Arabidopsis thaliana: one gene and its partners. The protein of the gene in region 3 interacts with the protein of the main gene of each other region in a pairwise test. Each region holds a gene or a part of one and is shown on either strand. Other genes may lie near its edges.

Region 1 (4,583 bases), on a different chromosome or scaffold from region 3:
GTGTAGATGTATTTTTTGCAAGTTTTTTTCTTATCAAAAGTTTTATTTTTCCTAAAACAGTATTTAGGTGATTTACACAGATCTCTAATATTATCTATATAGTTATACATTTTTATTATAATTGAAAGACTAAAAACTACCCACACTTTTTTTCTTTTAAAAATGACTTAGGGTCTAACTGGTGCAAAATTTGGAAGAAAAAATTTTCTACCTCATTTTTTTGAGCCCAAAAGAATGGGAACAATGTTAAAAAAAAATCGACCTAGGCACTGATCGTTATAGGCTCAAGGCTTCTATCAAAATCCTAACTAGCGCCTAACAATTTTTTTAACATTGAATAAGAGTAGTTCTTTTTTATTTTATTTTGTTATCAAATTATTTTTTTCCAAAAGAAAAAAAGATTATTGTTGATTTTGCCATTTTTTCATAGAAATCTTTTGAAATTGTCATTTTTACTAAAATCTTATGGATATGCCATTTTCTAACATTAAAAAAAGTATGTATTTCCGATTTTTTTGGTAAAAATACGTAGTTTATATAAAATATTAAATCCTAAGAACAAGCACAACCGACTAAACCCAAACATAACGAATAAAACACATGTTAAATCATATTTTCGTAGTGTGAAAAAGGCAAAATCTACAAACTATTCAGAAAAGGGCAAAATCCACAGATACCATCCCAAAAAATGGTAAATCCATAATTGATTCAAAGAATAATATTTCTTACTTCAAATTGCTGGGGAAAACAATTATTCTCTACGTATGGGTCCTAAAAGAATTCAAATGAAAACTTTCGTCTAAATATTGTACCAATCACACATTAAATTTTCGAAATAAATTCCACAGTTAAAGTTTCCCACAATAATCTTTTTTTTTTGGGCAAAACATTACTTAATAATCAAAATACATAATTAAGTTAAAAAGAGACCCTTTAACCATTACAACCATTATTAATAAACAACATTAGTTTTTGTCTTTCGAAATGAAGAAAACACAAATTCAAACAACTGAACACTTAGACTAGAAAATCTCCGTCTTTTGTGATTAGAGATTGTTGTTGATGTAAGGATCATAAACATCGGTGGTTGAAGGCATGTAACTGGTGGAAGCAAGATCAACGGCTGGTAGTTGATTGTAGTTGTAGTAGTTTCTGTCCACGAAAGGAATGCTTTCACGCCCTCCAACATGATTCATATGTTGTTCCACCATCGGATTCATGAATGATTGTTGTTGATTCAGATACTGATTTGAATTCAGATTCAAATTCAGATTCAAATTTATGTTGTAGAATTCTCGTTGAATCTGATTAAACAGATTATTAGGAGCCTGGTATTGAACCTGATTCATATTCTGATTTTGATAAAAATCACAAACGTTAGTAGGAACAAGGTGTTGAAACGGTTCATGCAGATTTTGACTCATATTCATATTTTCATATTGAATATGATCAGAAAATCGACTGGGAGCAGTTACCGCATTTGCGTCCGCATCAAGAAAAGGAGTCATATCGCCCGCAAGAACATGAGGATTGGTAGCATTAGGAGTATCTACAACCCTAGTTGTAGAATGAATAGGAGAGTCGGAAAACGACTCATCACCAATTTCGTCAACACCAATTCTAGTAGGAAAAGGAGAGACGGAAGACAACAACGACTCACCGTTTTCTTTAATGGACTCGATCCTTCCGTTAAGCTGATCGAGATATAGATTCATACAAGATAGCAAATCTTGAAGGTCTTTTGCATCATAACGATACTGGGACATTTTGCCTTCAACACAATCAAACATAAATCGTCTAACCTGTAATTCTCGGTTCTCAGCAGCCAAATTCTTTAGTTGCTCTTTTGCTTTGGTAATCCTCTCCATAAGATGGGTTTCTTGATCCATCATCTTCCTGGTTCGGGCTGTCCGCGGCATCTCCAGAAACTTTGAAGCTACCTTTTTAGCACCTTCCCTTGACGGCCATGACTCTGGAACCGGTATGAATGGACTATAGATGAGAGCACAAGCTTGGACACCACATAGAGTTGACAACTCGTGGAGTTTCTTGAATATCCCGTTTTTCCTCTTCATGAAGGATGTTTTCCTTGATCTTTCATTAGCTATCAAAGATAGCTTTACCTTCTTCATCCCCATCAATATGTTTTTTTGTTTTGTTTTGTGTGGTTTGTTTAATTTGTTTACTCAAAGAATGTTTATATAGCAAAGAAAGATGATTTTATAGTCACTAGGATTCTTATCACTTTGGTGGACTCATTAATTCTAAATAACATCCAGGAAATCTCTTATCAATTAATTGACCAGGTAATTCATTATTATCTATATAAAAATATTTTTTCTTATCTAAAGTTTGGCTCGTCTGATCCTAAATAATATCTGATGACAAAAAAAAGAAAAAAATCTATCCATGTAATATGAGGGGGCATGTAATATAATATTTTTATTTCTAAGTTTTGTTTATACTAAGAATTAATTTCTCTTACTCTCATTGTTTTTTTTTACTAAGAATAATTTCTAGCTTACTTTGTTCTTAGAATGTGAAGTTTTGTAATAGTTTTAAGTGATTGTACTTTTAAAATACAGTAATATATTGTCAATGTATATAGAATTGTGGTAAGCTAGAAATTACTCTAAAGTTTGTTATCTAAAGTAAATTTCAGAAAGTTTGTTATCTACAGTAATTTAAAGATGTACTTTGAATCATACAAATAAATTTTTAGAATGGGCAAACAATTTGAAAATATGCAAAGAACATCTCACATAAACGCCAAAAACTTTGAATAATTGTTATGAATGCCCTTTCAACACTATCCTTTTCAATAATGCATTTTCTTATTTGTTATTTTCATTTATACTTTCTCTTAATTTTTAATGACCATTTTACCCCTATTTAGAAAATGTTTTAAGTAAAAAATGAAATATTAATTTTTTCCCGCCAAAAATATTCTGAAAATAAATTTTCCGCCAAAAGTTTCCGGCCAAAAAATTTTAAAAAAAACTTTTCTGCCAAAAAGGTTTCTTAAAAACATTTTTTCCGCAAAAAAAAATTATAAAGGATTTTAAGAGATTTTTGAAATGAGATTTTAAAGGGTTTTAAAAGATTTACAAGGGATTTTAAAAGATTTTTAAAAAAGGTGTAAAAGAGTTTTAAAAGATTAGGGATTTTAAGAGATTTTTATAAAGTGTAAAAGGTTTTTAAAAGATTTACAAAAGATTTTAAAATATTTTTAAAGGGTTTTAAAAGATTTACAAGTGATTTTAAAACATTTTAAAAAGGTTTTAAAAGATTTACAAGGGTTTTTAAAAGATTAAAAAAGATTTTTAAAAGAATTTTAAAATATTTTTAAAGAATTTTAAAATGGTTTAAAAATTATTAAAGGGTTTACAAGAAATTGAAAAGATTTTTAATGGTTTACAAGGGTTTTAAAGGACTTACAAGGGTTTTTAAAATATTTTGTAAGAGGTTCATAAGAGTTTTAAAATGGTTCAAAATTTATTAAGGGGTTTTAAAAGATTTTTAAATTGTTTACAAGGGTTTTAAAGGATTTACAAGGGTTTTTAAAAGATTTACAAATGTTTTTAAAATCCTTTTAAATCCTTTAAAAATTCTTGTAAATCTTTTAAAATCATTGTAAAAGGTTTTAAAATGTAAAACAAAGGTTTTAAAATGGGTTTTTAAGTATTTACATATATATTTAAAAACTTTATAAAGATTTTAATAGGTTTTAAAATGATTCACAAGGGTTTTTAACAAATTTACAAAGCTTTTAAAACACTTTATAAGGATTTTTAAATGCATGTTTTTAGCTGGAAAAAAATTTGTTACAGAGAAAAAACTTTGGCGGGAAAAAAAACTTTTAGCGGGAAAATTTCAGTTTATAAATTACTTGTTCTCATTAGATGAGAGTAATTTGGTATTTTTGCTCAAGAGAATGAGTATTTTTAAAAATGGACTACATATAAGGATAAAATCAAGAGTTTAATACATTAATATGACTACATGTATTTATTTATTTATTTATTAATAATGACATATAAAAAAATTATTTATGAAAATTATTTACATTTAGAAAATATATGCATAATTTGGGTAAAATCAAGAGTTTAATACAGTAATATGATTTTTGCTTTTTTTATTATTTTTTACATTCAAATGGATATTAATGCAGGTACACATGTATAAACATGATTGGATATAAAATTATAATTTATAAAATCATGTGGATATTATACCTTTTGGGGCATTGACCAGATATTATATATTTTTTATTGCACTTTTAGAAATAAATTTTACCAGCTAATAATGAAGAGTAATTTAGCTGGCATTACCATATTTTTTTATCTTATTTATATCCCTAAAATAAATAGCTTTATGTAGACATGAGAGAATTGGTAAGAAAATATGATCCAATTATAGCTTTGGAACCCACATTTAAGAATTTTAGACTGCTTTTATTAGTTATCAAGATAAAAACATACAATTTCAATAATATAATATCTTAGCTTGTAGAAAAGTTTTGGTAGAGGTTTGTTATCTGCTTCAAAAGAGATTTATGTAAATGTCAAATTGAAAACTATTTG
Region 2 (4,183 bases), on a different chromosome or scaffold from region 3:
TATCCTAACTTTATCATCTGCCCTTTTGAGAAAATAACCTGATGAGCTGTCAAAGAAAATAAAATGATATCTTTCCTTTTATTTCTTAAAAAATACACCAAGATTTCTTTTCTTTTACTTCTTAAATACAGTAATTAAGATATTTCCTTTTAATTATTTTTATGATATGTATATTGGTTTATATAGAAAACTAGATATGCATGCCCCATAAATTCTTATTCCTACATTTGGGTCATGCATTCCTTTTATGATATCATAACATTTCATTATTTAGAGATAGTCAAACTTATTACTTTAATTGATAATAAAGAGAGGTCAAACAAAGAAAATAATAAGTAAATATATTCATTAGCTTCTAAAGTTTAAACATTTTTCACATTAAAGTTTCTTATTTTTGAATGCAATTGAATTAAGGTGCATGAGCCAAGCGACTTAGTCGTTAAAATGAGAATAATTTCTCTTGCAAACAACTTGCAATTTTGGGGGTTGAATGGGTAATAATACAATAAAAACACTAACACAAATTAATAGGATACAAGTCCATAGTAATTAAAATAATTTGTTATAGGAGAACAAATGAATTGATTATATTAAGGAAAATATAAGTGTTGACCATAAATAGATAATAAAACGTAGCATATAGATGTTTCATTTTAAGTTTCAAAATGCGTCCAAAAATGAACAAAACTATGTACGATGCATGAGAATGATAATATCTCTAATAATTTACGTGCATAGCATGACAATGATTATCTTATTAAAATACGATGCTCTAGAAAAATTAGGAAAAGTTAAAAAAAAATGCCCTAACATTTTGCACAAATTTGTTAAATACGGATGAGTTCTTCAAAACTGCAAAGAATAGTAAAGAAACAAACATTCGATTAAAATTAAGTTGACATGACAAGCAAATACAAGAGTTTAACACATAACAAGAGACATGATAAAAACTTGACCAAAACATAGAAAAACTAGAGATACGAAACGAGCAAGAAAAACAACAATAATAGAAAAAGAACAACATTAATTATTTCAAGAAAACTTCAAGACAAGTTGTCATGTCAACTTTGACGGCAGCTTCATTCGGCATCGTCTTCAGCACCACCGGCCATGCTGCTCTCTCCTTTATAGGTCCCCAAGTCTTCATCAGATGGTTCCATGTTTAGGTCTAAGCCACTGACCATTGTGGGTAAATGAGTCTCAACATCACAAGGGTTTTGGACTTGTGGATCAACGAAGACCCATTTATCAACATAATAGAAACTTCTTCCAGTTTCCATCATGTTTAACCCATTTCCACCTGACCCAGACGCAACATTCGAAGCCCTCAGGGCGTCGACCCCCGTAGAACCCATCCGTTTACTCAACCACATAAGTTTCTTATCCGCATATGGTATTAGTTTATCAGCCTCGGTTGGGGAGAGATCAGCAAGTTCACGACCATTTTGGACTTGGAACATGAGTTCGTCCATCTCAAACTCCGTGATAACCTTCCGAGTATCGGCTCGTTTCTTCTCAATCTTTTCGATAACGGTCTGGACGTATGACTCCGGATCAACGGCCTTCATGGTCCTTTCATGGTCGGTTAGAGAATAAAAGTTGTCGATGAGTGAATTAGCTGCCTCGGGAGATGGCCACGCCGTCAATTGTTCTTCTTCTCGATTGAAAACGACCACACTAGCGCGCATATCGCACAGAATGGACAGTTCATTCACTTTTTTGATAAGCCCCGTTAACCTCCTCTTGAGGCTTGCCCTCCTCATCCTATCGTCACGGATCCATGCAGCTCGTACTTTTTTCCGAGCCATGGCTAAGGATCACTTGGAATTGTTTTTTTCTTTGTGGTGTGAAAACTAAGCATCCTAGGTGTGGTCTTATATAAGAAAAGCCTAGGATAAGAGGTTGAACGGGGAGAATTTCCATGGTTGTAGTCTCCAATTGAGAAATGTTTGAATAGATTTTTTGGTAACTTAATTAGTGGGAAAATAGTATGTTTCTCCTCTATTCTACTAGGATTTAACCGCGGGGCAATATTTTTATTTTATGTATTTTATATAATAATTTATTGTAAAAGTGATATAGTACTAATTTTGGTAAACATTTATAATCGTGGACTAATATAATATTGTTTAAAGTTTAGGATTATAGAAATATATTTTTATATTTAATTTTAAGATTTTACGCGTGGTATATATTCCATAATATCAATCCAAACCGTTCTACCATATAACTCTATCATGTGAAATTAAACAGCATTTTTTTGTAATAATATTATTGTTTAAAAATTTCAATTTTACTGGAATGAATTTGGAATGAATTTTATGGAATAAATTTAGTCAGAAAATTTTGCAATTTTGTGAAAGCATTAATGATTGTCTTACCAAATATATAAAACAAATGAAGAATAGTAATGTGAGAGTGTTGCCAACGTTTTTGTTGTAATTGGGCTTATCTAATGACGAAAGTAGTGGATCTATATGTAAAAGTCCATATGGACCTGGAAAATAACAGTTTTAAGTATTTGTAAATCGTAGTTTGTTGGACTTCGAAAATATATAATACAGACACAAATCATTTAATGTCAAGAGAATTACAATAAATGCATAAGCCAAATGAATTTTTTGCCAAAATGTGTTAAAAATGTATATATATATATATATATATATATATATATTATCATATTTTCATGTAGCTTTTCATTTCGTTTTACAATATGTCAATTGTATTTTAAGTATCATCAACATTCAGCACTTTCTTTTCTTTAAGAATTTTCTGCTTTTTTTTTTTAATAGTAAGATAAAAAAAAAAATAGTAAGATATATATGTATATATATATATATAGATCTATTTGTATGTGAAAAAATGCTGTTGAGGGAAAAAAAAGAGAATACATGCATGCAGCTTTTCCTCTAAGTACGATACACAGACGATGCCATCGTGTTTGCTTGTTCCCTCAGCACTCGAGTGTACGTATAGTGTCCATGGAGACCTAGAAAAAAGATATTGATTAGGCTACATTTTTGTAAAAACATATAAAATAATCTTACAAATCCATCGTGATGATTTCAAATATTCGTATATTCTTAATTGTGTTAACGTATATATTTATAACATAGATAACAAAATAATTGAAAACTTTAGAATTTAGATATCATAATCAAGATGTTTGAAGAAATAGAGAACATGTGACATGTCTATTTTTTTAATCTAATTATATTAAAATAAGAGCAATGACCTACAAGGCTACAACCTAAGAAATAAATAGTAGTATTAACTTTTTTTTTGTGGCGAGGTGAACTCTTTCGATTAAAAGATCCTGCATGGCTGCATATATAGGTGAAAACAAATATGTCGTATGAAATGAGATACTAAAACCTTAATAATTAATTTGTGATTTGTAGAAAATATAATAAAATTGATAAAAGATGTAAAAAGGAGGAACGACAAAACATTGAAAAAAGATATTTACGTACGCGCAAACAGAATGGAATGGATACATAAGAAAATATTAGTCGGGGGTATTAATGGAGGATATCAGTAATTAAGAAGGAAATATGAGATTTTAATAGGTTCAGCTTACCGATCACTTGCTTGCACCCCCTTTAAATATTGATTCTATGTTCACCTTTCAAATCCAATTAGAATGCATACTGCTGAGCCAACAGAAAAAAAAACATGGTTAATGAAGACGTGACTCAATTAACAAGAGGAATTTGGTAAATAATGATGAGCTAGAGAAAGCAATTGCAAAATGCAGTCCCCAAACCAAAACTAAACCAAGATAACCAAACCCTAAAAGTACTCCCATCGCAGAGTTCTTAACAAAGTTTTCACTATTTCTTCATGATTTTAAATGTATAATTACTTCTGTCTTATTTATTACTTAAAACTAAATAGATTGATAAAAACTCTTAAATGAAATTTCTACTGATCTGGAGATGCTCTAAACCTCCTCCCCTCATCAGATACTAGATATTAGATATCTACCCAATCAAATCATGTACTGACAACTAGATTTGTGCATAGCTAGTTGTCAATACGATAAAACACTAACAAGCCCACACAAACATCAACACAATCCACAACAGTACAATATCTACTATAACTTACATGAAATTACAACCTCGTAAAAAAGCACTAATTAACAAGCACATACAAACTTAATTAGGCCACTTTCCCAAAT
Region 3 (5,832 bases):
ATTAAATTTCTGTGAATTTGTTTAACACATACAACTCAAATTCTACATACTAAGTTACTAACCTTTCTTTTTTTCATATATAGAGGACAGTTTTTACGTCATACCACTTCATCGTCTACGTAAGGTTATATAATTGATCTCTATGAGTATATATAAGATTTTTTTTTTTTTTTTTTTTTTTTGGGGGCACAAGTATATATAAGATTGTCTCACAAATTTCTTGATTGGTCCATTATTTATAGAATATATTGACTTTATTAGATACTACTTTTTTGTCAATGCATCTTAATTAGTGGATAACACATACGAGTTTGAAGTTCTTAGAAAATTTATAATAAAAGAAAAAAGCCTAAATTAATATTTTATGTTTTTTTTCCCAGATATCACACAAATTTATGGAAACCAGTGTTTTTTTTTTAAAATAGAAAAATGCATATGTTACTATTAGTCCTGATTTTATTTGTTTTATTTTTTTAAAGGATATTAGTGGGTCTGCGCACTTATAGAATGTTCGTATATACGTATGGCGTTTTATTCTCTTTTAATGAATTGGTGAGAGACATAGTCTCCTCCTATTCTACCAAAAAAAAAAAAGATTAATATAGAGGTATATGCATTTGCATGTATTACAAGTATTGAGCAACTGCACCCACTAAAATTCGATAGATCAAAATAATTTTCTAAATACTAACCATAGTGTCTCCACTAGAACGTTTAAACCCGCGTACGTTAGTGATATCAAATAAAAAAACTAAAAATTTTAAAAAATCACTCTTTCCGTTTTTTGTTTTTTTGTTTTAAGTTAAATTTCTCTTTCAACTGTTTTATACTTAAATAAGTCCAAACAAAATTATGATTATCTTCACTCAACCAAAAGTTGAATGATCTTTTAAAAAAATTAGACAAGCAAAATTGACATAATCATATGCATATTTGAGAGCAAAACATGTTTTTCATGTTTTATATACATAATATATAGTATATACATTGTTTAACAGTAAAATGTTTTTTTTATAATAGAAACGTTATGTACAATATACAAGTCAATAAAAGGTTAAGGTCTTAACTCTTAAGTGTGGAAGTTGTGTTTTATATAAACATATATATAGTAATATCTTGTCTTCATAGATAAATAAAACCGTATATATATTGTTAACTTTTCTAAAAAATAAAAGAAAAAACGTATAAATTATGTCAATAATATATGGTAAAATTGAAATTCCTTGAGATTATTGGCTACTGAGCTGAGGCATTCTTATATCATAGTCGGAGACCTCGTGGTCTGCTTGTGCATCCTTCTTCATAACCGGTATTTCAATTTCTTCTATATTGGGATCAACCACCAGTCCATGCTAACATATTTAAAAGCAAAAAAAAAAATTAGTGAAACAATTTTAATTTATTTCGGAAAAAGAGAAAATATAGAACCTGATGCTGCATAGGAGGAAATAGAGTCGAAGGGTTATGGGCCGTAGTAGAATTATAGGCTTGGGCCCATTCTTGAAACATGTCACCGTTATGATTTGACACATTGGATTCACCCATAATGTTGTTTTGGTTCGAGCTTGAGCTACTTCCTTGCAATAAAGTTTCATACATTGCTGAATGTGCCGATGCGTCGAATAAATGGGCTTCGTTAGGCCCATTTTCAGTCAGCCATCCTCCAACGACGTCGTTTCCAAAAGGCCCACCCATGCTTTGCTGTTGTTGTAAAGCAGATGCTTCATATGAAGATAATTGGTCTTGACTCAATATATGTTCCTGCGTCTCAAGAAATTATTTAGTTACTAATAGATATTGTTGAATACATTATGCTTAGAAAAAAATAAAGGGGAGTTTAAATTATTGACCCGTCGTTGATTGACACGTGTTAAGGTGTCCATGAGCTGCTTCTCACAAGTTTCGTACTCTTCCATTGTTGTAAACCTGATTGGATCTGGTTCGTATTTCCTAATTATATATATAATTTGGATATAAGTATTAGTTACATAAATTTTCATACATTGTATCACATTCACTGTGTTTTTGGTTATAAAAAGAAGACCTTAGTTCTTCCTCTGCCATGAGAAGTTGTTGTTGTAACTTATAAACTTCATGCTCAAGTTCCTAAAATTGATGATTAGAGAGTAAATAACATAAAGTAAAGTTATTAGCTAGAGGAAAAAAATAGAAGATTCACCTCGACGTCGGAGTTGATAGCTGTAGGGCTTTTTTAAAATCATCCAATAAGAGAAAAATAAAGAAAATCAACTTCCGAATTATTGCAAATAACGTAGTTATATAATAATGAAAGTAGAGAAAGAATTTGAGACTTGGTAAGTTGAAGAGCAATATCATTCTCAGCCTTGAGTTGCTGCAAAGTCCGGAGTAGATACTGTCACGTGACAAGAAAATTTCGAGATCAATAATCTGAAATGTATAATTGTCCTTCATTGAAAAGGAGCTAGGTATATATACACACATGACACATGCACAATATGCTTAATCTAATTACATACCTCTTTGCTCTGGAAATCTCTGCAAGATAGAGTTGTCAAAATATGAAAAACTCAATTAGATTTTGATGATTATAAATATACGGTTATTATATGTTTAATTATTTATCGGAATAAGAGTAAGATACATACGGGCGTCGACTTTGATCGGGGAATACTAGAGCACTAAAACAAAATGAAAGAGAAATATTAAGAACAAATGAGTGGAATATCTTTAGAGAATCTATTAAAGCCTTGAAAGGTCAGCTTACTTCTCTCGTTCTTGATCAGAAAGATTGATGTATCTAGAGAAAACGTCTTCAATCCTGACAAGAGTTTAACGAATAAATATAGATCAAATGAATGTTTCCATGTTTTGTACAATTAACCGAAAGAAAATGTTATAAGACAACAACAACAAAAAACCTTGTTTTGCCCGAAAAGAGGCTAAGGCGATCAGAGGGAGAGAACATGAGGAGAGCAATGTCGATGTCACAAAGAATGGACAATTCATAAGCTTTCTTTATAAGACCATTTCGTCTTTTGGAGAATGTAACTTGTCGATTCGTTGTGTTTTCTATTCGTTTTATCTCCAATTTCACTCGACCCATGTCTCTTATATCCGATCAATGCAACCAACAAACTCAAAGACTCTTCTTTATTTTGGTTTAGGGAATGCGAAAATCTGATCATTGGAGGCAAAAGTGCCTATATATATATGAGAGATGTACGGACGAGAGAAAAGAGAACCATGAAAGAAGGAGAGGTTAGGTATAAGAGAGATTTGGTTAGAAATGTATGGAAGAGATTAAGAGAGATTAAAAGGGTTTTGTTCTTTGAACGAATTAAGAATATGATGTTATTTTTTGCCACAGAAAATTCATATAGGAGTATTGGGATCAATTAATAACGTTCAGATTAACCAGCATATATCGTTTATTTTGTCAATAATTAATTGTAAAAACAAAACATAAAAGTCAACTAGTCCTCTTTACCTCGCAATGGCTACTCTCTCAGCATATGGAGAGGCTTCGGCAATATCTACTTAATGGTCAAATATTTGACTTTCCTTCAACGGCTATATTTTCCGACCGTTAAACACTATCTCAAGGTGTTTTTGCTTAAACATTGTGAATTGTTCGTGATGATGTTCAAAGTGGAAGATTCATATGATTATTCACTCACCAAGACACCAATGTAAGTTCTGATTCCAATTCACTGCTATATATATCCTTGTATTATTTTATTTATTTTTCTTAAAAAAACACTTAGGAATGTAAACCAAACCAAAAGATGTAAAAAAAAATTGTAAGCCAAACCAAAAGATGTAAAAGAAAATAAAAAGAAAAAAAGAAAAAAAAGAAGAAGAATATTTTGTAGCCTTATGCATTGAAATTTGTACTTTTTAGTCAGGTGTACATTAAATAAAAACTATAGGCTATATGAGAAAACAATAAAATTATCACTAGGTTATATGTTTGAGTTGTACTGTTTCTTACATATATATATCAACACAACTCGTGGGACGTAGATCTTGCTCTTACATAAATATCTACGGCTTCTCCTACTGTCATATATATATTTTCTGTCTTTATTTTCTCGTCCAATTTTGCTCGCTTCAATTTGTGAAGTACCCTCCATCTGGGACTAGCGATGACTAACTGCAGCCCACAAACATAAAACAAATATTGGTAATTTGAAAATCCAATGAACCCACATATGTAACTATAGTGAATGAATAACATTTGATTGAGAAATAAAGATGTACCCGGATGTCATTAGAAGCTAGCTCTTGATGTAGTTCTTCAAGTGCAAATACTCCTGATGTATCTACGCCCATCACGCCTTCACCAATATTTTGTTACATGTAAGATTCAGTACCTCTACTATATATACAATAAAACATTTTCTATAAATTAGTATATCATGATAGAATGTGGGATGTGCTTACAAGACATGTCGAGAATTACTACTTGAAGACCATTTTCTTTTAGAACTTCTTGTTCATTCTCCTCTCCTTCTATTTCTTGAACTGAATTCAATATTCTGAAAGAAGAAAAAATATTTATTTTTTTTGTCAAACTGATAAGAGTTTCACAAGAGTAACTAATGATGTTTGAACAAAAAAAAAAAAAAAAGAAGAAGATAAATATTGATTAATGACCTGTCTCTTATAAAATTGGCATTAGCAAAGCATAGCAAAGGAGAACTGATTCGAAGAGTCAATAATCCTGCAGTCTTATTTGCCATTGGATACTGATTTATGTCACCGAAGATATCTGTTTTTGATAACCTCCCTAAGGCCTCAATGCTTGGTCTTATCGAACTCAACATTATTCTTGCAAACGATATCCCCACCTACATATATACAAATAACTCTGTTATATACATAGTCTTATCCATCAAAATTCACAGTGTAAGATCACAACTGATTAAGCTGATCAAAAGGATAAAGATCGATCACAAGTATCCATTCTCACAGCCAGTTTTTCAAAGGTACTTTAAACATATGTATTTGATTTTTTGTGTACTTATTTGCCACTTGAATGAAACAGTATACATTATTGATTGTTTTGTCGTACAGGGTCTGTCTATGCACAGCGAATTTGGTCGGCCTAGTAGCATTTTTATATAGCAGTTTTATTGGTTAGAAAATATATGAGATATCGACGCTTTTGTTGTCTATAGGAATAATTCACATGATTGAATATAAAGAGTTTTGTTGACTTCCTCAGGGCATCAATCAATCTTGAGTAAAAACAATAGTTTCAATTATATAGTTAATAAACTAGATCATAACCCGTGCTATTAATATTTTGTATAAATTAAATTGTATATTTTGTTATGTTTGTTATGTTTGTCAAAATTATTTGTTATATTTGTCAAAATTTAGTAAAATATATTCAAATATAATTAAATTTATTAAAACTTAATAAATTTAAAAGTTTTTTTTGTTTGGAGACGCACTATCTACATACAAAATACCCGTTTCTATTTTTTTGAGTATTTTTAGGGCCTGAAACTTTTTATCCAAACTGACTCAAACCCAACTGGACCGACCCGAACCGAATATTTAGAATTATTCTATTAGGTAGTAAATCATATACCCATTAATCCCAAACCCGAACGGGTTCTACCCGAACTCGAATGTGTTACTCATATGCCCAGCCCTATTCTCTGATTTAATTATCTAAAAAATCCCAATAAAACATATGTTTTGCTGACTACTTTTTATTCAAAAAAATTTACATCCTCTTTTGCCAAAATCATTTCATAAGACATCCCAAAACCCTTGGAATAATGATTCCATGAATGAAGAATCCTAATTTGAATATACCAAGAGGTTTTGAAAGGTTTT

Evidence for each region. Proteins that work in one complex are often made in the same cells at the same time.
Region 1: the proteins of AGL66 (region 3) and AGL90 interact in a two-hybrid assay, tested with the Arabidopsis thaliana proteins (one large-scale study listed by BioGRID).
Region 2: the proteins of AGL66 (region 3) and AGL96 interact in a two-hybrid assay, tested with the Arabidopsis thaliana proteins (one large-scale study listed by BioGRID).

Annotation. Positions count from the first base shown.
Region 1 is NC_003076.8:9,990,639-9,995,221, forward strand, and holds AGL90 (AGAMOUS-like 90), read right to left. Parts: upstream 2,133-4,583; coding exon 1,476-2,132; intron 1,353-1,475; coding exon 1,047-1,352; downstream 1-1,046. UniProt on the Arabidopsis thaliana protein: Probable transcription factor.
Region 2 is NC_003076.8:1,980,069-1,984,251, reverse strand, and holds AGL96 (AGAMOUS-like 96), read right to left. Parts: upstream 1,809-4,183; coding exon 1,080-1,808; 3' UTR 1,047-1,079; downstream 1-1,046.
Region 3 is NC_003070.9:29,313,983-29,319,814, forward strand, and holds AGL66 (AGAMOUS-like 66), read right to left. Parts: upstream 3,205-5,832; 5' UTR 3,086-3,204; coding exon 2,901-3,085; intron 2,801-2,900; coding exon 2,747-2,800; intron 2,661-2,746; coding exon 2,628-2,660; intron 2,518-2,627; coding exon 2,499-2,517; intron 2,375-2,498; coding exon 2,313-2,374; intron 2,208-2,312; coding exon 2,180-2,207; intron 2,107-2,179; coding exon 2,045-2,106; intron 1,951-2,044; coding exon 1,851-1,950; intron 1,762-1,850; coding exon 1,429-1,761; intron 1,353-1,428; coding exon 1,230-1,352; 3' UTR 859-1,229; downstream 1-858. Other genes in the region: AST56 (STAS domain / Sulfate transporter family), read right to left, coding at 3,983-4,135, 4,243-4,319, 4,426-4,520, 4,639-4,832. UniProt on the Arabidopsis thaliana protein: Probable transcription factor that forms a heterodimer with the MADS-box protein AGL30 and is involved in the regulation of pollen maturation at the late stages of pollen development and pollen tube growth.